2 linked regions of the Mytilus edulis genome follow. The protein of the gene in region 1 purifies or fractionates together with the protein of each later gene. This does not show direct contact. Links are inferred from orthologs where the notes say so. Each region holds a gene or a part of one and is shown in the gene's direction. Other genes may lie near its edges.

Region 1 (12,683 bases):
GAGAGTGGAGATTTAAACTGTATTTCCCTTGATTAATAATGCTAATAAAACGTGAAACTGCGGGACGGAATCGCGATTTTTGAAAAGAGGGTGCAATTCCAGAAAATAACATACTTTTTTGAATTACTGTAATATTTTTTTTCTGTCTATGAAAAAAAAAACACCATAAAAATGGGATACACACTTCAGTAACCCGTGTAGCACGATTTTATACTTTTGTGATTTGGAACACCCTTTTCGCAACACCCGGAATCAGAAATGAGAAAAGTCCTACTGGTGACCCTCTTGTTTCAATTCTCAATGTTCACATTCTTTTCTTTTTGATAACCGAAGATCCTGATCACATTTGCAACCCATCTCAAGCTGAAAATAATGACCTCATGTATACGGGCCATGAGATTGAATAAGATTGAAATATTGACTTGCAAGACAATAATACATCATCGATGTTTTTGGGTTGATTTTCACAAAACTGATAATTCATAGCGACTTATTTCTGCTTTTATAAAATTTTAATGAAAATAAATCAATTTTGACTTTTCTTTACATCGTTTTGAAATATCTTAATCAGAGTTTATAAGAGATTTAAGTATGTCACAGTTTAACACATTTTAATTGATTAATATTTATACAGGCTCTTTGGCGTAAATGAATTCCAAGTTCTGGCTAAATTGATACCACTGGAAAATAACATTTAGGGTAAATGATATGGCACGGCGACAGAGTTATTTCATATTTGCAATTATTTTGTAGTATAGTGTATTAACATTTGAATTGTTTTACATGTGGCAATTAGGGGCTTGTAATGGCTTGCTATGCGGTATGTGTTTTGCTAGTTATTGAAGGTCGTATGGTGACCTTTAGTTCTTATACCGGTATTATACCGTTCGCTTGGTCTCTAATGAAAAGATGTCTCATTGTAAACAGCATCTTATTAGGGGCCATCGAATATGCGGGAATTATATTATTTTCAGTTTGTTTGTCTTTTCGTCTGTCCGTCAACAACGTTTGTAAACGCAAAAAATCCAAAGTATGCGTAGGATGTCAATATAATTTTGCACAACTGACTGTTGTGCATAATATGTAGATGTGCACATTATATTTTAGTGAAAATTGAAGTAACAGCCTTTTATAGCTAGCTGACTATGCGGTATGGGCTTTGCTTATTGTTGAAGGTCGTACATTGACCTAAAATAGTTGTTAACTTCTATGCATGCCATTTGATCTCTCATGCATGGAGAGTTGTATCATATAGCAATCATACCACATCGTCGTATTTCTACACCAATAACAGGAACAAACTCTGTTAAAATGTCGCAAATTTTGATAAATGTTTTCTATCAATGCAACTTTAAAAGTAGAAGGCCAATGAAGTTTTGCTAATTTTTTGTGCATAATATTATTACGAAGATATGCATATTACATTTTGGTGAAATTTTGCTTAATAGTTTTGGAAAGAAAAAACTTCGTTTCAGTAAAAAAAATCACGAATTTTGAAAAATTACATGTAGTAGGATGCCATAAAAACAAATTATATATAATACATGTATTTATATAAGTATAATATGAATTTCTTTTTGTTTTTTCAAGTCAAGTCATATTACTTGCTATGATTTAGTTGCAAAAGACACCAGTAGCTTATCTGTGTCAAAATCATTTGATGTCCACAAAAACGCATGTTATGTAAAGTGCTTGAGTTTTAACAAATTATACATTAATAACATAACCTGAATTGTCAGTCTTCTCTAGTATTCATATGATTAGTTTTTTAAACCATCTATACCTTAAGTGCAATACCCGGGACGTTTTTTTTTTTATTGGTGGCGTAATTCTGTAAACAGATGAGACATCGAAAGTAAATTGGACACAATAATGCTAACAAATATTGTTTCTAACGAAAAGGGATGTGCGTACTGAATCCCCCCCCACCCCGAAGAAAACCTCTATCCTGGCGGGGAAAATCAACATTTCAACAAACAATTATGAACCCCCAATTATATGCAGTGAATGAACCGATCGTCGACAACCACAACTTTAAATCGGGAGCTGCTGCTTCTACAATTCAATCAAAGTTGAGTCTCGTGGTCTTTTAGAATTTAATATAAGTTGTTATCTGGTTTGCGTTAGCTTTCAGTATAACTTTGAGTCATCTTATATCAATATCGTGTGTTTAGACCGTAATGTTCCTTATGGCCATGTCCGATGTCACCGTTAGCTTTCAGTATAACTTTGAGTCATCTTATATCAATATCGTGTGTTTAGACCGTAATGTCCCTTATGGCCATGTCCGAGTGTCACCGTTAGCTTTCAGTATAACTTTGAGTCATCTTATATCAATATCGTGTGTTTAGACCGTAATGTCCCTTATGGCCATGTCCGATGTCACCGTTAGCTTTCAGTATAACTTTGAGTCATCTTATATCAATATCGTGTGTTTAGACCGTAATGTCCCTTATGGCCATGTCCGAGTGTCACCGTTAGCTTTCAGTATAACTTTGAGTCATCTTATATCAATATCGTGTGTTTAGACCGTAATGTCCCTTATGGCCATGTCCGAGTGTCACCGTTAGCTTTCAGTATATCTTTGAGTCATCTTATATCAATATCGTGTGTTTAGACCGTAATGTTCCTTATGGCCATGTCCGAGTGTCACCGTTAGCTTTCAGTATAACTTTGAGTCATCTTATATCAATATCGTGTGTTTAGACCGTAATGTCCCTTATGGCCATGTCCGAGTGTCACCGTTAGCTTTCAGTATAACTTTGAGTCATCTTATATCAATATCGTGTGTTTAGACCGTAATGTTCCTTATGGCCATGTCCGAGTGTCACCGTTAGCTTTCAGTATAACTTTGAGTCATCTTATATCAATATCGTGTGTTTAGACCGTAATGTTCCTTATGGCCATGTCCGAGTGTCACCGTTAGCTTTCAGTATAACTTTGAGTCATCTTATATCAATATCGTGTGTTTAGACCGTAATGTTCCTTATGGCCATGTCCGAGTGTCACCGTTAGCTTTCAGTATAACTTTGAGTCATCTTATATCAATATCGTGTGTTTAGACCGTAATGTTCCTTATGGCCATGTCCGAGTGTCACCGTTAGCTTTCAGTATAACTTTGAGTCATCTTATATCAATATCGTGTGTTTAGACCGTAATGTTCCTTATGGCCATGTCCGAGTGTCACCGTTAGCTTTCAGTATAACTTTGAGTCATCTTATATCAATATCGTGTGTTTAGACCGTAATGTTCCTTATGGCCATGTCCGATGTCACCGTTAGCTTTCAGTATAACTTTGAGTCATCTTATATCAATATCGTGTGTTTAGACCGTAATGTCCCTTATGGCCATGTCCGAGTGTCACCGTTAGCTTTCAGTATAACTTTGAGTCATCTTATATCAATATCGTGTGTTTAGACCGTAATGTCCCTTATGGCCATGTCCGAGTGTCACCGTTAGCTTTCAGTATATCTTTGAGTCATCTTATATCAATATCGTGTGTTTAGACCGTAATGTTCCTTATGGCCATGTCCGAGTGTCACCGTTAGCTTTCAGTATAACTTTGAGTCATCTTATATCAATATCGTGTGTTTAGACCGTAATGTCCCTTATGGCCATGTCCGAGTGTCACCGTTAGCTTTCAGTATAACTTTGAGTCATCTTATATCAATATCGTGTGTTTAGACCGTAATGTTCCTTATGGCCATGTCCGAGTGTCACCGTTAGCTTTCAGTATAACTTTGAGTCATCTTATATCAATATCGTGTGTTTAGACCGTAATGTTCCTTATGGCCATGTCCGAGTGTCACCGTTAGCTTTCAGTATAACTTTGAGTCATCTTATATCAATATCGTGTGTTTAGACCGTAATGTTCCTTATGGCCATGTCCGAGTGTCACCGTTAGCTTTCAGTATAACTTTGAGTCATCTTATATCAATATCGTGTGTTTAGACCGTAATGTTCCTTATGGCCATGTCCGAGTGTCACCGTTAGCTTTCAGTATAACTTTGAGTCATCTTATATCAATATCGTGTGTTTAGACCGTAATGTTCCTTATGGCCATGTCCGAGTGTCACCGTTAGCTTTCAGTATAACTTTGAGTCATCTTATATCAATATCGTGTGTTTAGACCGTAATGTTCCTTATGGCCATGTCCGAGTGTCACCGTTAGCTTTCAGTATAACTTTGAGTCATCTTATATCAATATCGTGTGTTTAGACCGTAATGTTCCTTATGGCCATGTCCGATGTCACCGTTAGCTTTCAGTATAACTTTGAGTCATCTTATATCAATATCGTGTGTTTAGACCGTAATGTCCCTTATGGCCATGTCCGAGTGTCACCGTTAGCTTTCAGTATAACTTTGAGTCATCTTATATCAATATCGTGTGTTTAGACCGTAATGTCCCTTATGGCCATGTCCGAGTGTCACCGTTAGCTTTCAGTATATCTTTGAGTCATCTTATATCAATATCGTGTGTTTAGACCGTAATGTTCCTTATGGCCATGTCCGAGTGTCACCGTTAGCTTTCAGTATAACTTTGAGTCATCTTATATCAATATCGTGTGTTTAGACCGTAATGTCCCTTATGGCCATGTCCGAGTGTCACCGTTAGCTTTCAGTATAACTTTGAGTCATCTTATATCAATATCGTGTGTTTAGACCGTAATGTTCCTTATGGCCATGTCCGAGTGTCACCGTTAGCTTTCAGTATAACTTTGAGTCATCTTATATCAATATCGTGTGTTTAGACCGTAATGTTCCTTATGGCCATGTCCGAGTGTCACCGTTAGCTTTCAGTATAACTTTGAGTCATCTTATATCAATATCGTGTGTTTAGACCGTAATGTTCCTTATGGCCATGTCCGAGTGTCACCGTTAGCTTTCAGTATAACTTTGAGTCATCTTATATCAATATCGTGTGTTTAGACCGTAATGTTCCTTATGGCCATGTCCGAGTGTCACCGTTAGCTTTCAGTATAACTTTGAGTCATCTTATATCAATATCGTGTGTTTAGACCGTAATGTTCCTTATGGCCATGTCCGAGTGTCACCGTTAGCTTTCAGTATAACTTTGAGTCATCTTATATCAATATCGTGTGTTTAGACCGTAATGTTCCTTATGGCCATGTCCGAGTGTTACCGTTAGCTTGTTATTTAATAGTGTTTCTTGTTGGTTGTTGTCTGCATGTCATAGTTGTTTGTCGTTAACTCTTTCATTGTGTCTTTTGTCACTAATATAATCAGGACGTTCGTTTTCCTTTTTTTCCTTTTCCTAACTGATTTATTCACTTTACTGAATGGATTTTGTTCATTGTTGAAGTCCATATGGCGACGTGTGGTTGCTTCATTTCAAGTTAACTCTGGTGGGAAGATATCGCATCAGCAATCAAACCAAGCCTCCTTTTTTTTTATATTAAAATTTGGAAATTTAATTAACCGAAGTCTAAATGTCCCAAGGGTAGGGAAATGAGATACAGATCTCAGACACTCCCGTGATATTCAAATACTTGATGTCGATATGTAAAGATAACAACTTTATCTTTCCTCTAATATTCGGTTTGCCAGAAGCTCATTTTTGACATGTCGATAAAATATTAGAGAAAACTGAAGAATAAGCGTAGAACGCTGGTAAAAGTATCTGCTTGTATGGAGAGCTTTCACTAAAATACACATGATAAACTTCTATGTATATTTTATACGTTTTCTACTTGAGTTTTGATATTCTCAGCTTTGATTTTCATAGTTTAAATTTTTGTATTAAATCTTATACATTTTAAATATTAAAGGCACTTCATTTAAGAAGAGACATATACAATTGTATTAAATACTGATGTCTCTGATTTTAGGTAACTTTAATTTAGCGTATCTAAAAAATATCAACTCCTTAAAGCATACGCCAATAGACTACAGGAGTTCATACTAGTTACGAGTTTTGCCAAATATTGATCATATCCAATTAATATTATAAAACAAAAATAAATTGGTGTTTACCTTAAGAATACAGTGGTTGTTAAATATAAGTCATATATAAAGTATCCTGCGAACTATAGCTAGTTAAGTTAGGTAACAAGAAATAAACATGCCAAGTGAGCCACGAGGCGTATACTAGAGTTTTATCAAAATAACGAATCACGATTCTTGGATTGATTTAACAAATATTTCGATTATTACGATATCACAAACAGCTGATTATAGTAGTAAGATCATAGTAAGCTCTGTAAAAGATGAATGGACAGGCTTTTGATGACGTTATTTCCGGTGGCGCAGTTAAACAAACGCATGTTTATTTGTATCTACAGCGGGGAAGTCCAAGTAGGAATTAACATGAGTTTTGGAACTAACTTTTAATAACATATTTCCTGAAATGGCTTTGGATATAAATTTATTATTATGTATATGTATTCTTTTTGGGATTTGTTTTTCCCATGGATATGGATTAATATCAAATCCTGAACACGGTAGGTGTTTCGTTTTTATTTTTGTTATTTTTACCTTATCCAGGTACACCGAGAGGTACACTTTAAACAGTCTTAGAAGACGTCCCATTTTATGGCTGTTATAAAACGAAAATATATTTATTAGATTTTATAATTGAACCAAGTGTTATTCTTCATAGTTTTTAGTCTGGTTATGTTATTTATTCCATTCAGGTACATTAAATAATATTTAGGTTAACTTTACAGGTAAGGTTTCGGGTCATTGAAAAAGTTATTCAAACGACATATAATAGGTTCCGTAGTCGCTTATATTCTTAGAAATCTTATTTGTTGTTTTCGTTCTGCTGATAATAATTTATACAAATCTTAATATGAAAATCATTTTTTTTTATATTATTTTAAAATTTTAAAACACATCTATATAAAGTTGAATAGTTTAGTATTACAGATACGGAGAAGATTATACAACAATCCCTAAAATTCATGCAGTGACTATGGCAAATCAAAATACCTTTACATATACACCTTCACAATAAAATTATCTTCGTTACATAACAGTTTTAATAAACACGTTAAAACATAAAAGTTCCACTTGTAAATAGAGTGGTGTAAAAGTTATCAGTCTGCATTCTTGGGGAGTGAATGTATTTTTGTGAATGAAGTGATTGCCAATACCATCCTTTATGTGTATTTGAATATTTTTATCTTGTATTAATGAGTATGCAATTACAGGGTAATTAAGCAAGAGTCTGTTGGCAATGATTTTGTTTGTATTGTCAATATTATCACTGATAGCAATCAAAACATGTGTTTTGACCCCTGTTCACTCATCACTTCATGCTCAATGAAAACGGGATTTATGTTTTTTTACAGAAAAGAAAAGTAACTAATTGAAATAGATTTACCATTTTTAAGTCCAATGGCAGAGAGCAGTAATATAACAATTTTCTAATTTACTTTCAGTGAAAAAATAATTTGTAAATTGTATGATTTATCAGACTTCAACCTGATTAAATATTTGTAATCAGCATGTAACTACAATGTATCAATGATACACAATGTTATTACTTTTCAATACAATGTTGAAAAATCAAATTTAATTTCCCAATTGAATTTGATGTCAGTTTAGAAAGTGATGTCACAGCTCCTTAACTAGAATTACAATGACATTGGTGTCATCAATTTCTGAAAATGCTATTTTAATTAAAGAAACAAATCGCCTTTCTGAACATTTTATTACACTTAATCATACACCATGGAACCATAATATTTCCAGACCAATGAAAGAAAAAAGAAAATTGATTTATACTAGGTAGACCATTTGATGAACATAATATTTAAGTTCAGAAGTTTTATGTGTCATTGTATTCCAAGTTACCAATGATTTTAATTATTTAAATAGAAACATATAGGTTAACACTTGTTATTTTTTTTACATGTTAAAAATGATCCTACACCTAGGACTAATATGGTTAGTGTAATAGTCCCAGGCCTACAATTACAAAATTTATAGAAGAAGCATTTAAATTGGTAACTTGTTAACTTGTGTGTGATATTCCACAAGATGAACTTTAAGTTATTCTCAAATGTACAATTAACTAAGAATCTTGAAAAGTGCCAAAAGGATTAAATATTTACAACAACATTTAATCATTAATCAATATTTGTCTTCTATTATATACTTCAATTCCTAGGGAAAATATTCAAAGATTTCAAGAAAAAATACATGTATTTGAAGGTCAATTTTATTTTGAAAAATGAAGATTTTGTTTTAAAATATTTCAACCAAGATTGAAGAATAAATGGAATATTACATCTTATTTCAAAAGTGTTCGATAAAAAGATCTTGACAAATTATTTAAAAAAGAAGTTCACAGCAATTACATGTATATCATAAAGGCTTGAATATTAAAGAGATTAAATTAGAACTTTATTAGAAAATTGTTGCTGAAATAGAATTGGTGTTGTTTAATGTCTTTTGTTCAAAGACAACTTGTGATTTTTTTTAGGCTGAGTAGCCATTGTATTATTATAACTTAATTTGCAAATCATCTATATAGGTCAAGCAAAAGCCGAAGAATAACAGCAACCAAGAATTACAAGAATGGAAAAAAGCATTGTATTCAATGATAATGTAGCTTTTTATACTGTTCTATAAATATGTTTGTTATATACATGTATCTGTATACGTTATTTTTGTTATATTTTATTTCTAAATCACACGCATATAGGTTAAGCAAAAATAAGGTCCACATTGGTCAATTATCTATATAATTATATCTATGTTTACTAATTACTGTAAATTCAGAAATTATTGCAACGTTTTTTTATCGCGAAAAATGCGACAGGGTTATAATTGCAATAATTAAAACTCGCATTTTGGAATTTGTAATATGAATCAAACAGGATTTTGCTGAATATATACCACAAATTTAAAATCGCATTTTGGTCTAAACTGACAAAATCGCAATAATGGATGTATGCAATAATTTCTGAATTTACAGTACATGTAATTTGACTGGTTTAGGACTTTTCATGTATTGCATGTTTCTTGTGTATAATTGTGAGGGGTCCACATGGGTCAATTAAATATCAATCTAATTAAAATATAGAATTCTGATTTCGTTATACTACTATAAAATATAGAACTTTGATTTCATTATACTACCAATGGGTTTTAGTATTAAAACATCTGCGTTCTATATTATAATTAGATTGATTACTGTAAATTCAGAAATTATTGCGATGTTTTTATTATTGCAATAAATGCGACAGGATTATAAATGACAACAATTCGATTTTGAATTTTTTTTTATGAATTTAACAGGATTTTTATCAATATCCCAAAAATTAAGTCACATTTAAGTCGAAATGTATCATCCCTATAATATAAAATGCATGCAATGAATTTCTGAATTTACAATATCTATACTTATTTAATATTAACTTGACTTGTTAAGAACTATTTTCATGTGTTGTATTATGTTTTTTATGTACATGTACTTGCTGTATGCATTCTAACCTGTCATTTTTGCAACAACATATATTATTTTGAAATCAATATATGTAGAGGGGTAAAACACATTAAAGGTGGTAAAACTTATGGATTGAACTTGAAACATCATTGAAAAACATCCAAGTTACTTACATATTAAATTAATTAAATAATTAATACTTACTTCTTTAATCACTGTGCCCTCAGATACGAAAGTGACTACACCTGTCAGTTATACAGGGAAACATGATCTATATCTAACTACTGTCAATATTTATAACATCACTTTCAACACTACTTAGTCTATCATAACATATTTATAGTCTTCTGTTGTTACATTACAACTGGGATAACAATGCTCTTATAATTTACATGACATTTTTTTCTTATATGGATAATCACTCAAAATATATACAGAAAAAGACAGATCTTGTAAGAGAACATTGGAGGACTTCACCATGTCTTTATTCTGTCTTTCAAAGTTAAACCATTTTGTTGCTGAAAGACAAACAATACAATATTTTTTTGCCATCAAACACTATCATAACTATAATAAGGTTTTAAAAACAATCAGGTAAAGATAATAATATTAAATAATTTAATTTTGGATGAAACGCGTCTTCTGATTGGCCGACATTATTTTGTTATCGGACCATAGACATAATTTAGTCATGTGACCACAACGTCATCAACGTTTTTTCAAGGTTTTCTACGGTTTAAAATAGAATTTAGAATTAAATTATAAGAAATGACTAATATTTTTTCTGTCTATTCGAAATAACATAAAAAATGTGGTGCACACTGTTAAATAACCCCCTACACGCGTTATTCAGTGTGCATCAAATTTTTTATGTTATTTCTTCATAGACAGAAAAAATATTACAGTCATTCCTTAAATAAAACAACACTAACATCTCTATGTATACAACAGTGGTCAACGAGTTCAACATATGTTAATCATTATATATTTTTAAAAGTTCTTTAAATTGGCGTTGTCATTTTTTTTTCGACTTGTGAGTTAGCATGTTGCTTTGGTAACTTTTGTCTCTGCGTCCCTCACTGTTCTGACTTGTGAGTTAAGCATGTTGCTTTGGTATCTTTTGCCTCTGAGTCCCTCACTGTTCTGACTTGTGAGTTAGCATGTTGCTTTGGTATCTTTTGCCTCTGAGTCCCTCACTGTTCTGACTTGTGAGTTAGCATGTTGCTTGAGTCCCTTACTGTCTGACTTGTGAGTTAGCATGTTGCTTTGGTATCTTTTGCCTCTGAGTACCTCACTGTTCTGACTTGTGAGTTAGCATGTTGCTTTGGTATCTTTTGCCTCTGAGTCCCTCACTGTTTAAAATTGAGGCCACATATTTTCCCCCTTCTTTATAGTTTCAGGACTGCTCTTGAAAGGTACATAAGCGAGCATAGGCGGATCCAGGAGGGGGGGCTGGGGGGCCCGGGCCCCCCTTTTGTGGGAAAAATTTGGTTGATTTTATAGGGACTCATTGAAGCATGAGTGGAGCGGGCCCTCCTTAGGTCAGTCAACGGGCCCCCCCTTAGGAAAAGTTCTGGATCCGCCACTGGAGAGCAATACTGTTTGAGATTTAAAGTAGGATCTTTTATTCACTTCCTGGTTAAAATCTTAGATCTATTTTATCTATTTTAAATCCACCATATACATTTCAGAATCAAATAAAATAGAAGTTGAAAGTTTCAATATAAGTACAAATTTAAGCACCAATTATGTAATTTTCATTTTGGGTACAATATTCTATCTAAGACATGGGTACTGAACCTGTAACCCTCTTACTCAGGATCCTTAATTCCATGTGTGTTATTGAGAATATTTTTCTACCAGGTTAAATTTACATTGACCTCCCCATTTTGTCTGAAATATTAACTCTACAGCATTTTATAAACTATTATAGTACAACATACAAAGTATTGACCTTATTAGATAATAAAATAAGAATAACAATATTTGCGGTTGTCAATTACCCAGTAAGGACCTCTGATGGACAGCCAGGATGACACAAAACTGTTACACTATCATTTTTATTATAATTTTTTTTTTAAACCAAAATATTATTAAAATGATCATATATATTTCTTCAATATCTTATAAAAATCATGTACATATTAATAATTAATCATTGTCTCTAGCCAGTGTAAGACTTGAGCAAAGTGTTTAACCTTATTTCCTTGATGTATAAGATAGAAATCTCTCTGATAGCATCACTGCTTCTGTGATTACTCTCAAGGATTTTATAAAGAGTCTGTATTTTCCATCAAAGGCTCTATCTGTCTATTTTTTTGTTTGCTTACGTCAGTCTTTATCATGGAATATCACTACTTTTATCATTTAATACTTTTTACCAATTTAAAGATAATCACCAAAACAACAAAAGCATCTTTCATACTGAAATTTTGATTCTACAAACTGACATAACATTAACCTGTAGGCTGCAATATTTACACAGACATAGGAATATTAAAATTCTTCATTTTACATCCTTTTTGTGACATTATTTTGGGTATTTGTGAAATAATAATGGTATTCAATCATTTACATGTATACAGTAAAACCTATCATTGTTTGGCGAATGACATTTTCTCAGAAAAATGGGCACTTCACAATTTGGTCCGACCATGCTTATCAACTAAGGCTATTTTAAAATGAATAATGATAATCCTAATATTTTAGTACACTGTGTAACTTTTTGTCTGTGACTTTTTGTCCTGTGACTTTCTGTCCTACATTTACATTCTAACTTTTATGGTGTTAAAAACTTTTGATGGTAACATCGTACACCTATCAAATGAAAATATTTTAAATTTGAGGTTATGACTTTATGTTATAATAAGGTGTGTGTGTGTAAAGTATATTTAATTGATCTTTGAATCAAGATTTATATGCCAAGAAAACTGGAAATACAATAAATTTATGATTGGAAAAAGAAGTGATGATTTTATTGTTTTTCTGTTGATTTATCTTTTATAAAAATAGGTCCATTTTCGTGACTGTTACTATTCACTGTTAACATGTACTATTATATACGTATTCACAACATTTTTTTGTAAAATTAGTGCCTCAGGCTAGTTTAAGAATGCATGATTTATAACAATGTTTTTGTAAAGACTTTGACCACTTTAAATTAAACAGAGGATCAACACTGCACCACATCCGTTATATAGTTAATCATGGACTTGTACATGATCACACTCACACATACAATGTAGCAAATTGGCCTAGCTCCACTTAA
Region 2 (13,013 bases), on another chromosome or scaffold:
GACATTTTACTTTAATTCATCTATTATTCGCATATGTTTAATCCCTAAATAAGTCTGTATGTTAGTTATTGTTATTTATTAGCTATGTGCTATTTTTGTCTCGAATCCGAATTTGAATTTTAGAGAAATGTTTGTCAAGTTTATTCAAGTAATTTTTGGTTTGTTATAAAAACATGATAAACTGTTTTATTATTACGATATGGCATCTATTGGATTTAGTATAACACTGAGCAGTTGCAACCCTGTACAATTTTGTTCCATGCTGAACTTTTAAATTATACATCGCGGTAACCATAGTCTTCATTTGTTGCAAGAGTTATTCCCAGAGTCAGTGTCCGTGTAGACAAGTCGTATTGTTTATTGTGTGTGTTAGTCACAAGATACATCCAGTTTCTATTTGTGACAATATCATTATTTTACAGAACATGTTGAATAAACAAACTGAAATACATACCATAAGTGTTTAAAGCACAGTCAATTGTCTAAAGATAAAAATTGACAGCTAAAGGGTCCATGTCCATTAATCGGACCCTTATGGTATTCAGGGGCAATTTTCGTCAATATATCAGACAACTCTAACGGTTGCCAATTTAAAATCACTCCGGACTCGGATTCCCAAAATTGATAAGGGGTGCAGTCATTGTGTCAAAGGCCTAGTTGTATAAAGCTGCACCGAACTTACTTATTCATTGTTATAAATTAAATACACCGAGGCATATAATACGTGAAGGGAACAAACCGTTCTAACTACATATAAAATGAGAACACAAACTGTCACTGAACACACTCGCGCCAGCATATGCCAACAAATATATATATAACCATGCAATTATAGATACCATTACATCCGCCTCGGGACTGATCAATGCCTGTAATATCGGTCGCTGGCCTGTCATCAAACCTACAAACAATCAAACAAATTGAACTGCCTTGTATGTCGTTGTGAATAAATTTAACAACACCTACAAATTTCTGATAACAAAATCGTATTTCTTGAAATAGACGCACAAAGTCAGAAACCGTGACAATAGACGACCATGGTGTAAAATCTCTTGGAGAAAAACGGGAGTTAAGACAAATGTATGTGTTACTGCTTTAGCTTATAATCCAATCGTTTCATAAGTATATGGCTTAGATTTTCTTCGAAAATTATCACTATATATAAACAAGAAAGCCATACCGGTACATAATAACAATATCAAAAAATGAATTTATTCTATTATATCATACCTTTTGGGCTAAAAGCTGCTGAAAAGAACTAAATGACGCATCACAAAATTGTTGGTGCTGATTACAAACAAGAAAACAGAATTTACTGAATCACTCAATTTAATCATTGAATCACATTCAATGTGTATACACAATTGCATCATTGATTCACATATCTGTATAAAACTTTTTTACGATGCAGAAAGGAATTGTATATTCAAATATTGGATGAAGGCGGTTGTGTATTTTTTCATCGATATTTACCCATGTACTCCTTTTACTCTGATGTCTTACACTACAGTTCCAAACTTTTCTGACTTAAGCTCCTAGCCTCGGCCCTAAACATGATACAGAGAATTGCAGAAAATATAACTGGTTGTTTTTTAGGACATACATCCCAAAGGATTCTGGAATAGGGCAGGAATATTACGATACATCATTAATTTATAGATAGTCTCATCTTGCTCGACGTTCAATTACAGACATTACACGGTTGTCATTCGGTACATCGAGAAAAATTATCGTGAAAGAAGACCATATGGTGGTTGAGAATTGAGATCGAATCGTGAAAGATCTTATATCGGATCATGACTGTGTTTAACTCAAATTCGAGTTCAAAATCTGGAAAAAAAACAGCCGGCGTATTTTCAAAACTCGGAACAAATAAAAAATAGTTTTATGTCTGTCAAAATGATTCAACTTTCTCAATAGTACTGTAAAAATTGTTTTATATTGTTTCCAGAATGCATTCTAGTAAATTGTAAGATTTTAAAAAGTGAACCCATTCACTTTGATTTTGTCTTAAGTAAAAATTGAAGGATTGAAAAAAATCCTCTCGCTCATAAGTTGTATTTAGTAGATATGGGAACATGTGGTAATGAGTGCCAATGAGACAACGCTCCATCCAAATAACAATTTATTAAATAAACCATTATAGGTCAAGGTCCGGCTTTCAACACGGAGCCTTCCATCGGCTTCCACGGAGCCTTCTATAGGTTCTGCCATCACCAACTCTAGTGTGGGTATTGCATTTGATATTAGCCTGAGATTAAAAAAAAGTACAACAAATAACTATGCTGGGCCATTTTTATAAAGTGTGCATTGATTGTATATCTAGATCTGTAAATTTGCAATTTTCATTCTTCGGATGATGTACACCAATTCTTAAACATGAAAAAGTTTGTATGTCCATGTCAAAGGCACAGGCGTTTTGGGAAATGGATCCCTTTTTTCCTTGATATTTTTTTTTGGTGCTTTTTTTTTATATATATATATATATATATATATATATATATATATATATATATATATATATATATATACTGTAAATTCTAACGAGCACTAGCTGTCAAATTCATGTTCATCGATTTGACTCAAATTCTCATATTTGTTTTATAACAATGTAAAATATTTATCAAAATTATTAAAAGTCTAAAGTAAACAGTTTACAGGCCATGGGCATGATAATACGTAGCTTCGTTGACCCCCCCCCCCCCCCCCCCCCCCCTTCGTTTTGTGTGTATTTTAGTCTAGACGCAATCTAATTAACTGTCGAGTTGACCTCCTAAATACTGTGACCTCCGATGCCCATATAAGCGATTTAAACATAACTATAGATATAAGTAGAAAGTGGAACTCGTGGAATTGGATTCTTCTAGATCTATTTAATTTCATTTATAGTTGTTAATCATCATTTTTACCTGTATAAGAATGATTTGTTTGAGGAATAGTCAATCTAATGATTTACCTTTGTTTCGCTTTCAATGTTGACATTCTTTTCCTTTTTAAAACTAATCAAACACGCACACAATTCATACGTTATCCATCTCTAGCTTCACAAGAACACGGATTCAATGAGGTCGAATTATTCACTTGCAAGTGAATAATTCATTACAATGGTTCTTAGTTAATTTTGACAAAATTGGATCATACTGGCTGTTTAAAGCGAATTACTATTTTACTGTTATTAATGTTTGAACCTAAAAAAAAATATTTTTTTAATATAATATGTACTTGTAGCTAGTGCCCCTTTCAGTTTCACCAAGGCTTTGTTTAATACTTGGTTTTACCAGTCTCTGCTCTCAATAGAGTGTAAAAATTTTCTAACGATATATAATTGCTGTTATTGTTATATCGTATTGATATTGAATAAAAGAAGGAAAATACGGTATTGCGAACATTTCTTAAAAAAAAAACACATATAAAATACTCTAAAGGGATAAAATTACAGTTGAAATTTCGCGGGAACAAAAGTTGTCGATCTTATTTCTTGCGCATGCGAAGTAATGATATAAACTTCCGGTTTTATTTTGTCACGATAAAATCTGGAAATAGTTTATTTTTGTAAATTATGAAGTAAATAATCACAGAATAGGTAAGAAATATATGTTACCCTTATCAGTATTATCACATATCTTCCTTTTTAGGAATGACAAGACTAATAAACCTTACACATTGCCGTTAGGTGGTCGGGCAGTTGCGATGTAAGGAAGGGCAGTCTTGTCTAACTTTTCATTTTACCTTTTTTTCTGTGCAGGTGTAAAATCTGCAAGCGGCAAACACAAAAAATGAATAGGGTCGGAACTCCCATATACGAAACATTATTACTTTGAGCAATTATTGAGTGTAAAAAAAACCAATGTCTGTCATTTTCATGATTTTGTCCAGTGACACTGACAGATTTAGGTTTTTGAAATAGGAGCCCCTTCTTAAGGGTAGTAATGTTATGTGAGTTCGTGGTCTAGTGGTTAAGACCGATGGCTACAGTGCTGAAGGTCCCGTTCCAAAAGTTCTCACTTGGGGTGCTAAAAATATCAGTACATCAGAAGGGTAATTTTCACCCTCTCACACACAACTCTGGTACCCAGACCGGAATTTAAACTAGAATGGGTACTTTGGGGGCCTTGGTTGGTCAAAGTTGCCCCCTACTTTGACCAGAAGATCAATCTTCTGATATCTCTCTGGTTTGTCTGTTTCCACCGAGTGGCCTGGTGGTTCTCTCCGAGTCCTTCGGCTTCCTCCACCATAATAACAGACTTCCCCGGTGTCATACACGCTCCCTTGGGCGGTGTTGTGTTGGGATTGTTCTGGTGGTGGGAAAATATTGGAAATCAAAGTACATAGATACAATTGGGGTACCTTCATGACATATTACGGTAAACATTCTTGCCAAATGACTTTAATGGTAATTTTTAGTGCATGACGATAAAATGTACATCACAATATTTTTTTTCCAAAAAATAATTGTAACGATAATTATTTGATACCTCTGACGAATCACAGTAAAATTTCAACCAATTAGACGCTAACGGTACCAAAAAAATTAGCGTTAATTGCCTGACAGTAAAGGGCATTACCAACCTCCTTTTTGTATAGATAATATGCTACCTTTCAAAACAATTAACCATTTGAATATATTGATATCACATACAAATTAAATGTATATACATGTATAAAAAACACATGAGACATCACTATCAGTCATTCAGTATTTACATACAATTTATTAAAAAACACATTTTCAAAGAGACGGTTACATAGATTCTGCACATTGTATTTTCAGGGTTATATACTTTAGGGTATCATTTTTTCATTGCATTGCAGTGAACCAGACTGCCATGGCACTATCATTATATTTCCCTTGGCAGCAGGCTGTCATTTGTGCGGTATTAGGCATACACAAATGTTGGTTTATGGTTACATCATTTAAAATGATAAAGGTAGGCAGGTCAGCATTTCCATTCTTGCTGTGTTCTGAGTTTACATAGAATTTTGAAGGAGAGTCCTCTGGACTCATAACTTTTGGTCATATTGCATTCAGTCCAACTGTATAAATGAAACATGAAATGGTTTTAATATAAATATTTATCAGGCCTGTAGCCAAGAATTTCCGAAGGGGGGTTATTTGGACTCACGAACTCAACTTTAACAGTCACAATTCGAACAGAACGTTGACTTTAACAGTGGTTATTTGTTTTCAAGGGGGGAGGGGGGTTCTAGACAAACCCCACCTGGGTACGGGTATGTTTATTAAGACTATTGTGTATGTTACATAAAGTTATAATAAAACATATATTACAGAAGTTTATACATGTAGTTTATGTACAATAGATATTAATCAACATTTTTTTATTTTCATCTGAACAATCTTTCATCTTTTTAACTGGTGTAATACAATTTTACTCACAAAAGCTAATTTCAAAGCCAATGTAAAAAAAATTGCTATGAAATCTACTCAGTCAAATTGAAAAATGTGGTACTAACCAGTTATTGATCATTATTAACATGATTAATGTTTTCCAAAAATATGTATTCGATCATCAGCACATTAACATTTGCATGTGCAAATTTCTGTTAAACCTGAACCAATTCAAATGCTTCTCAAAACTCTTAGAACTTTATATATCCATTATTTTATTATTGAGCTGAATAGTCTTGGACCAGATCATCTTGATGCTGGATCAACTTTGGGGTTGAATCCAATTCAAGCAATATCGACCAAATACCAATACCGGTAAATAACATGGAAAGAATTATATATGGGATATCCACTCCTGACAGAAAATCAGTACATGTGCAGTCAAAACAGTATAAACTTTTATTGCTGTTATTCATCTCTAAGTCACCAGTGTTCTCCCCAGGATTTTTCTAAGGCGCAAAATTCAAGGGTGCGTAACTCTTTTTTATAGTGAACTTTTGTGATCTGAATCAATCAGTCATAAATCATGACATGCAATATGAGTTATAATGCTTTGTGTTGTGTGTTTAATAGTGCAAAGTGAATTACAAGAATATATATGAAATAAATTGATTTAAACACAAAAGTTATTTATATATATATATTCAGTCCATTCAAGATGTCAAAATAAAAATATTCATCTCTGTATTCTCTACTCCTTCTAGGGATATTGTTTCAAGATAATGTTATTTTGTTGGACAGTCTGTTCCTCAACTTTGTCTTTATCCTCTTTAGGGATTGAACACCCCCTCTCACAATAACTTTTGCTTATACCCCCTTTAACATTTCTAAGCAATGAAAACTCAGTCAGCCACTTGTCACTGAAACCAGAAACATGGTGCTTGCTTTTATCACTGCTAAAACTTTAGCTCGGTTGGGATTAGGGGAAGCAATAATATCTGTGTATACTGACAGCTGAGTGTAGATGGATCGGAAGTGTATTTCCCTTTTCATTTGAAGCAGAGACATATACACACATGTGTATAGCTGCGGGATTTACGAAAATATTATGAAGGCGATGCGGGACCGCAGCGTCATATCGGCCTGGGGAGAACACTGAGTCACAGTAAGGCCATCAACACAGATCTAAATGATAAATCTTACTGCAAGTTTAAGATGACCAGTTATAAAACTAATGTTATTTGCTTCATTAAAAAATCAAGCAGTTAACCCTTTCCTCCATAATGACGCTTTTTGACGCCACCCCCTTTACTCCATAATAACGCCTTTTGACACCTGTGTAGTACTTAAGATGAAACGCTTTGACTACAAAATGTCTGCATCAAACTTTAAAAAAATTGTATCTTATATGAAAGAATATCTGACTTGAATTTCATTGATGAAATATTTGTTTTTGTAATGCATTAATACTTTAAACCTGATATTTTTTTTTATTGAAAAAATCCTATGCGAATCAAGTATTTAAAAAAAAAATCTCCATAGAGTAAAGGGTTAAATAGTATAATTAGCAATATTGTTATTGGTGTACATTGTAATATTGCATTGCCTTTACACACATTTCTAGATTTTAATTTGAAATTCAAAAACAATCATAATTCATCATGCACATGATTAAGCTGTCAAGTACTACATGTAAGTAAAATTTGAATGTGGAATGATCAACTTGAAAACCCCCCTTTTTAGCTCACCTGGTATGAAGGGGTAGTAAATGAGATTACTGTAAGTTCATAAAATATTGTAATGCTTTTTATTAATGTGAATAATGGGACTGTTATGAGTAACGCAATGAAAGGAACTGGCATTCGAATATCTGATGCATATATTATGCAGCTCTTCCTGAAAATTGCAATAATAATCTTAAATTTATGTCCTTACTTAAAAAATCGCTGTAAATGAGCACAATTATCTCTATTACCTAGTTTCTGGTAACAAACTTATGCCAAAATTTTCTCCTCTGAAACCATTATTGAATGTACTTTATTGACCTTTTTAACCATATATACACGTACATAAAATACATGAAAAGATGTAAAAGTATATGATATATGAACCTCATTATATACTTTATATATATATGTCAATTGGGAAGTATAGATTTAAAGTGAGCCAAGTACATTTCTTTACAAGGTGCAGTCTTGTGGTATTGTTTTATTTTTGATCAGGAAGTTTATGATGGCCATTAAAACAATTATATATTATTGATGACAAATCGTTGCTCCAGTTGTGATGAGTCAGGACTTATTGTTGTGTTTTGGTACTATGTAAGTACTACATGTATGTAGTAAATTAATGTCCTGTATCTACAATGATCTAGGATTAATGAAGGTACTTTTAAATGTATTTGTTTAATGTTAATAATTTTACAATTGAATATACATGTATGTTTTTTTTTCTATCAAATTTAACCAAAGTCATTTCTAAGACATGTAGATCTGATCAGACATATTTTTTTAAATGTTGCATTAATCTGAATGAATTGCGACATTGATATGAACCGGTAGCTGAAACAAGACTCGCTTTTAGATGTATCATTTCATCTCAAGTACAGGCAATGTGAATCAGTTAAAGGTGAATGTGTTGAGGGATTAATAGTGAGTAGATATAAGAAGATGTGGTATGAGTGCCAATGAGACAGCTCTGTATTAATTCAAGTCACAATTTATAAAAGTAAACCATTACAGGTCAAATTCTGCTTTCAAAAATCTATATTTTCTATGGACATGATGCAATAAACATAGAAATACAAATAGTATGAAATTCAAAACAGTGTAGCTGTGGCCATTGATTGACCCATCAAAATCATCCATTGACTGGGACAATTTACGTGAACGTTTGTCTGTAACAACCACTGTTCATGACGTACCTACGATAGACAGTTAAACTGTGGGGTCACCAAAGGTTTCTTAATGCCTTTAATTATAAAATAATTCGAAAAAATTAATCAGGAATAAACTTTGTGTTTTGATTTATATAATTGATATAAATCAAAATATCGTGTTATTTCTGATTAATTTTTCGAATTACTTTATTTAGGTTTTGAGAACCTTTGGTGACCCCATAGTTTAAGTTTCTTTAAAAAGTACATAGTGAGCATTGGTCGTTACATACAAACGTTCACCTAAATTGTCCCAGTCAATGAATGATTTTAATGTGTCAATCAATGGCCACAGCTACACTGTTTTGAATTTCATACTATTATTAAGATGAATTACCAACAATCAAGCATTCATCTTTTCAGCAAATATCAACAAAATTAACGGTAACTTAGAATTTCAGTTCCTTTAAAATTTCTGCATGTATTGTCGATACATGATAAGTACATGCCTGAGCCTGTCTAGACCCTCTTCTCTAAAACCATAAGTGGATTGGTCAGATATAGGTCAGTGATACATGTATTGCTTCCACATTTTGATTTACAATGGGAAATGAGTTTAAGTTTCAACAAAGTGGGCACAATTTAGTGTATTGTAAGAGATGGTATCATCAACAATAATAATCAAATACACAAGTGCATGCTAGTAAGATGGATGAAATGAGAAGAATGTGTGGGCATCACTCTGTACAAGGCATCAGATTGAATTCTCCTTTATAATATTGAGAAATAAAAAGAACGATATACTCCTTACATTTTAGTGCAAAAATATAAGTTATGCTGTCATAAACATGTTGAAATTGACAGATTGTCTTAAAATGACCCTGTTTTGGCAAAATGATATTTGAGTCACAGCTATGCATGTATTTTAATTTTTACCCCCATTTACATCATTGCATAAGACATGTGTCAAAATTATCTTTTTAGATAACTCATATCTAAATATAAATGACAAGATCTCAAAATGAGACTCCTTTGTCAAGATTTCCATGAAATGTTATCTTATAAGAAGTTTGAACCCTTAAACAAATAGGTAAGACACATTTAAAAAAATATTGATACAGATATTTGAAAGCCATTGTGAACATCTGATGGATTTGGTTTTTACACTCAACATGCTCAAGGGTTTTAAAAACTAATATATTTCAAGAAAGATAATTTGTAATATTTTAACATTTATATATATATATCATATATATAAAATAAAGTATCCATGTCCTTGACTTTCATAATAAAGTTGAAATATTACAACCAGGAACTAAGAGATAAACTTAATATCCCTGTTATCAGACATATGGTTATATTGTGTACAATATGTTTTATTTACAATCGGTCTACCATATCTGCATGAGTAACCATCTGTAACTGTTTGTAAATGTGCATAACTTTGAATGTGTAAGTGATATATTTATAATATTCATAAATCATTTTATTCATCTATTTCCATTTATAAATATATATGTTGAATGATGATACAATGTAGTGATCAATTTTAATTTTGTTAATACAATATAATACATAAATTCAGACTGTAAATGATAATGATATAAGCATGATAAGTAAGTAACTACATTTTTTTATTTTTTGTTAAGCATATAGAAATATTTACCGGGTTGGTTGTTATTGACATATTGTGTTTTTATATTGTAATAGATGAATTGACATTATAAAAACCACTAATGATAATTTCAGTTAACCCTTACCACAACCTCTGTTGGTAAATTGTCACAGTACATGTATTAATATACATATACATATATATAATGTTAAAGGCCTACATGTACATGTTAAAATGGGTGCTTTACTTGTATAATACAATGTATATACATGTATAATGCATGTGTTAAATCATTGTTTTCCAATCATTCTAAATGCAAAGTCTGCATTCACTTCAATTTAGTTTTAAAATGTTAACATAAGATTTATAAAATTTCAATTTTTACCATTATACAAGTAAGTCTTATAAAATCTATCTTCAAGTTATTGGGAATTTTGATATGATCTGACGCAATTACAATGAGATTGCCCAAATTAATTACCTTGTTAATGAAATAAGTGAAAGTGGATAATCTCCAAGAATACTGTATAGAAATCTGTATATGTCTTTCACTTCACAACATTTTGATATAAGGATTGAATAAGGTTGACTTCTGTGAGTTCATTATGAATTCAAGTGGAATTTTTAAATTACATAGAATTCATGGGTTTTTGTGAACCCCAAATTTGAAATGTTCAACAAAATACAAATTTCCTTTTAATAGGCTTGTATGCCAATTGTTGTAAAACCACAAAATCAAAAAGCCATGAAAACACAAATTTTCCTTTAAACTCTAAATCAAGAGGAAGATACAGACAGTTAGTCAATGAACTACCATGTTTTTTGGTCCTTAAATGCGGAATGGGCTGTGTATTTTTCTTACTGGTTCACTGGTGTTAAAGCATAGAAAAATGAAAATTCTTACTACAGTGTATGATCAAACACCTAATAAATGAGCTGCAAGTAAATAAAGTCTCATGTCTAATTATATTAACAAGGATTATGATTATATCTAATGAAGACATAACAGCAAGATATCCGAAACCAAGACCACAGAAAACTTTTTTATAGATATATCTTGTATATGATATTTGTCCAAATGTCTACATGCACTATATTTTTTTCCAGAATGGACAAGCATAAAAAGGGGAAGAAGCAACCTTCTGAATGGTCAAAAACTGGTAGTTTTATGCACAAACCAGATAGAGGCTGGATTCATCCAGATGCACAAATAAAGCCTGATGCTGGTGTATGCTATGGTGTGAGAGTAAGTAGCAGTTACCTCCCTTTATTATACGACCGCAAATTTTGAAAAAAATTTTGTCGTATATTGCTATCACGTTGGCGTCAGCGTCGTCGTCGTCGTCGTCGTCGTCCGGCGTCCGAATACTTTTAGTTTTCGCACTCTAACTTTAGTAAAAGTGAATGGAAATCTATGAAATTTTAACACAAGGTTTATGACCACAAAAGGAAGGTTGGTATTGATTTTGGGAGTTTTGGTCCCAACATTTTAGGAATTAGGGGCCAAAAAGGGCCCAAATAAGCATTTTCTTGGTTTTCGCACTATAACTTTAGTTTAAGTTAATAGAAATCTATGAAATTTTGACACAAGGTTTATGACCACAAAAAAACGGTTGGGATTGATTTTGGGAGTTTTGGTCTCAACAGTTTAGGAATTAGGGGCCAAAAAAGGGCCCAAATAAGCATTATTCTTGGTTTTCGCACAATAACATTAGTTTAAGTAAATAGAAATCAATGAAATTTAAACACAATGTTAATGACTACAAAAGGAAGGTTGGTATTGATTTTGGGAGTTTAGGTCCGAACAGTTTAGGAATTAGGGGCCAAAAAGGGACCCAAATAAGCATTTTTCTTGGTTTTCGCACCATAACGTTAGTATAAGTAAATAGAAATCTATGAATTTTAAACACAAGGTTTATGACCATAAAAGAAAGGTTGGGTTTGATTTTGGGAGTTTTGGTCCCAACATAATAAGGGGCCCAAAGGGTCCAAAATTAAACTTTTGTTTGATTTCATCAAAATTGAATAATTGGGGTTCTTTGATATGCTGAATCTAACTGTCATGACTGTGTATGTAGATTCTTAACTTTTGGTCCCGTTTTCAAATTGGTCTACATTAAGGTCCAAAGGGTCCAAAATTAAACTTAGTTTGATTTTGACAAAAAATGAATCAGTTAGGTTCTTTGATATGCTGAATCTAAAAATGTATCTAGATTCTTGATTATTGGCCCAGTTTTCAAGTTGGTCCAAATCGGGGTCCAAAATTAAACTTTGTTTGATTTCATCAAAAATTGAATAAATGGGGTTCTTTGATATACCAAATCTAACTGTGTATGTAGATTCTTCATTTTTGGTCCTGTTTTCAAATTGGTCTACACTAAAGTCCAAAGGGTCCAAAATTAAACTTAGTCTGATTTTAACAAAAATTGAAATCTTGAAGTTCTTTGATATGCTGAATTCAAAAATGTACTTAGATTTTTTATTATGGGCCCAGTTTTCAAGTTGGTCCAAATCAGGATCTTAAATTATTATATTAAGTATTGTGCAATAGCAAGTCTTTTCAATTGCACAGTATTGCGCAATGGCAAGAAATATCTAATTGCACAATATTGTGAAATATCAAAAAAAATTTAATTAGAGTTATCTTTCTTTGTCCAGAATAGTAAGCAAGAAATATCTAATTGCAAAATATTGTGCAATAGCAAGATTTTTTTTTAATTGGAGTTATCTTTCTTTGTCCAGAATCAACTTAAATCTTTGTTATATACAATATACAATGTATATTCACTTTTTACTACCAACTGATAAATTAAAATAATCTTTACCATTCAGTGATAACAAGCAGTTTTTTTACATCTTAATATTTTATGATGTATTTAAATGAGTAGTTATTGTTGCAAACTCCATTAGAAATTTTAATTGAGATTAGTTTTAGAATAAGGGAAAGGGGGATGTGATTAAAAAAATTGGGTTCAATTTTTCTCATTTGAAATTTCATAAATAAAAAAGAAAATTTCTTCAAACATTTTTTTTTGAGAGGATTAATATTCAACAGCATAGTGAATTGCTCTAAGAGAAATAAAAATTTTAAGTTCATTAGAACACATTCATTCTGTGTCAGAAACCTATGCTGTGTCAACTATTTAATCACAATCCAAATTTAGAGCTGAATCCAG

What was found.
Region 2: the proteins of epidermal growth factor receptor-like (region 1) and SHC-transforming protein 1-like purify together in Drosophila melanogaster (affinity purification with western blotting; 3 studies listed by BioGRID). This does not show direct contact. The link is inferred for Mytilus edulis from reciprocal best matches to the Drosophila melanogaster genes Egfr and Shc.

Annotation. Positions count from the first base shown.
Region 1 is NC_092357.1:52,091,770-52,104,452, reverse strand, and holds the start of epidermal growth factor receptor-like, read left to right. Parts: upstream 1-6,180; 5' UTR 6,181-6,367; coding exon 6,368-6,461; intron 6,462-12,683. UniProt on the Drosophila melanogaster protein: Receptor tyrosine kinase, binding ligands of the EGF family and activating several signaling cascades to convert extracellular cues into appropriate cellular responses. Known ligands include spitz, gurken, vein and giant-lens.
Region 2 is NC_092347.1:75,001,774-75,014,786, reverse strand, and holds the start of SHC-transforming protein 1-like, read left to right. Parts: upstream 1-7,405; 5' UTR 7,406-7,633; coding exon 7,634-7,668; exon of another isoform or gene 7,669-7,732; intron 7,733-9,523; exon of another isoform or gene 9,524-9,654; coding exon of another isoform or gene 9,655-9,674; intron 9,675-10,944; coding exon 10,945-11,083; intron 11,084-13,013.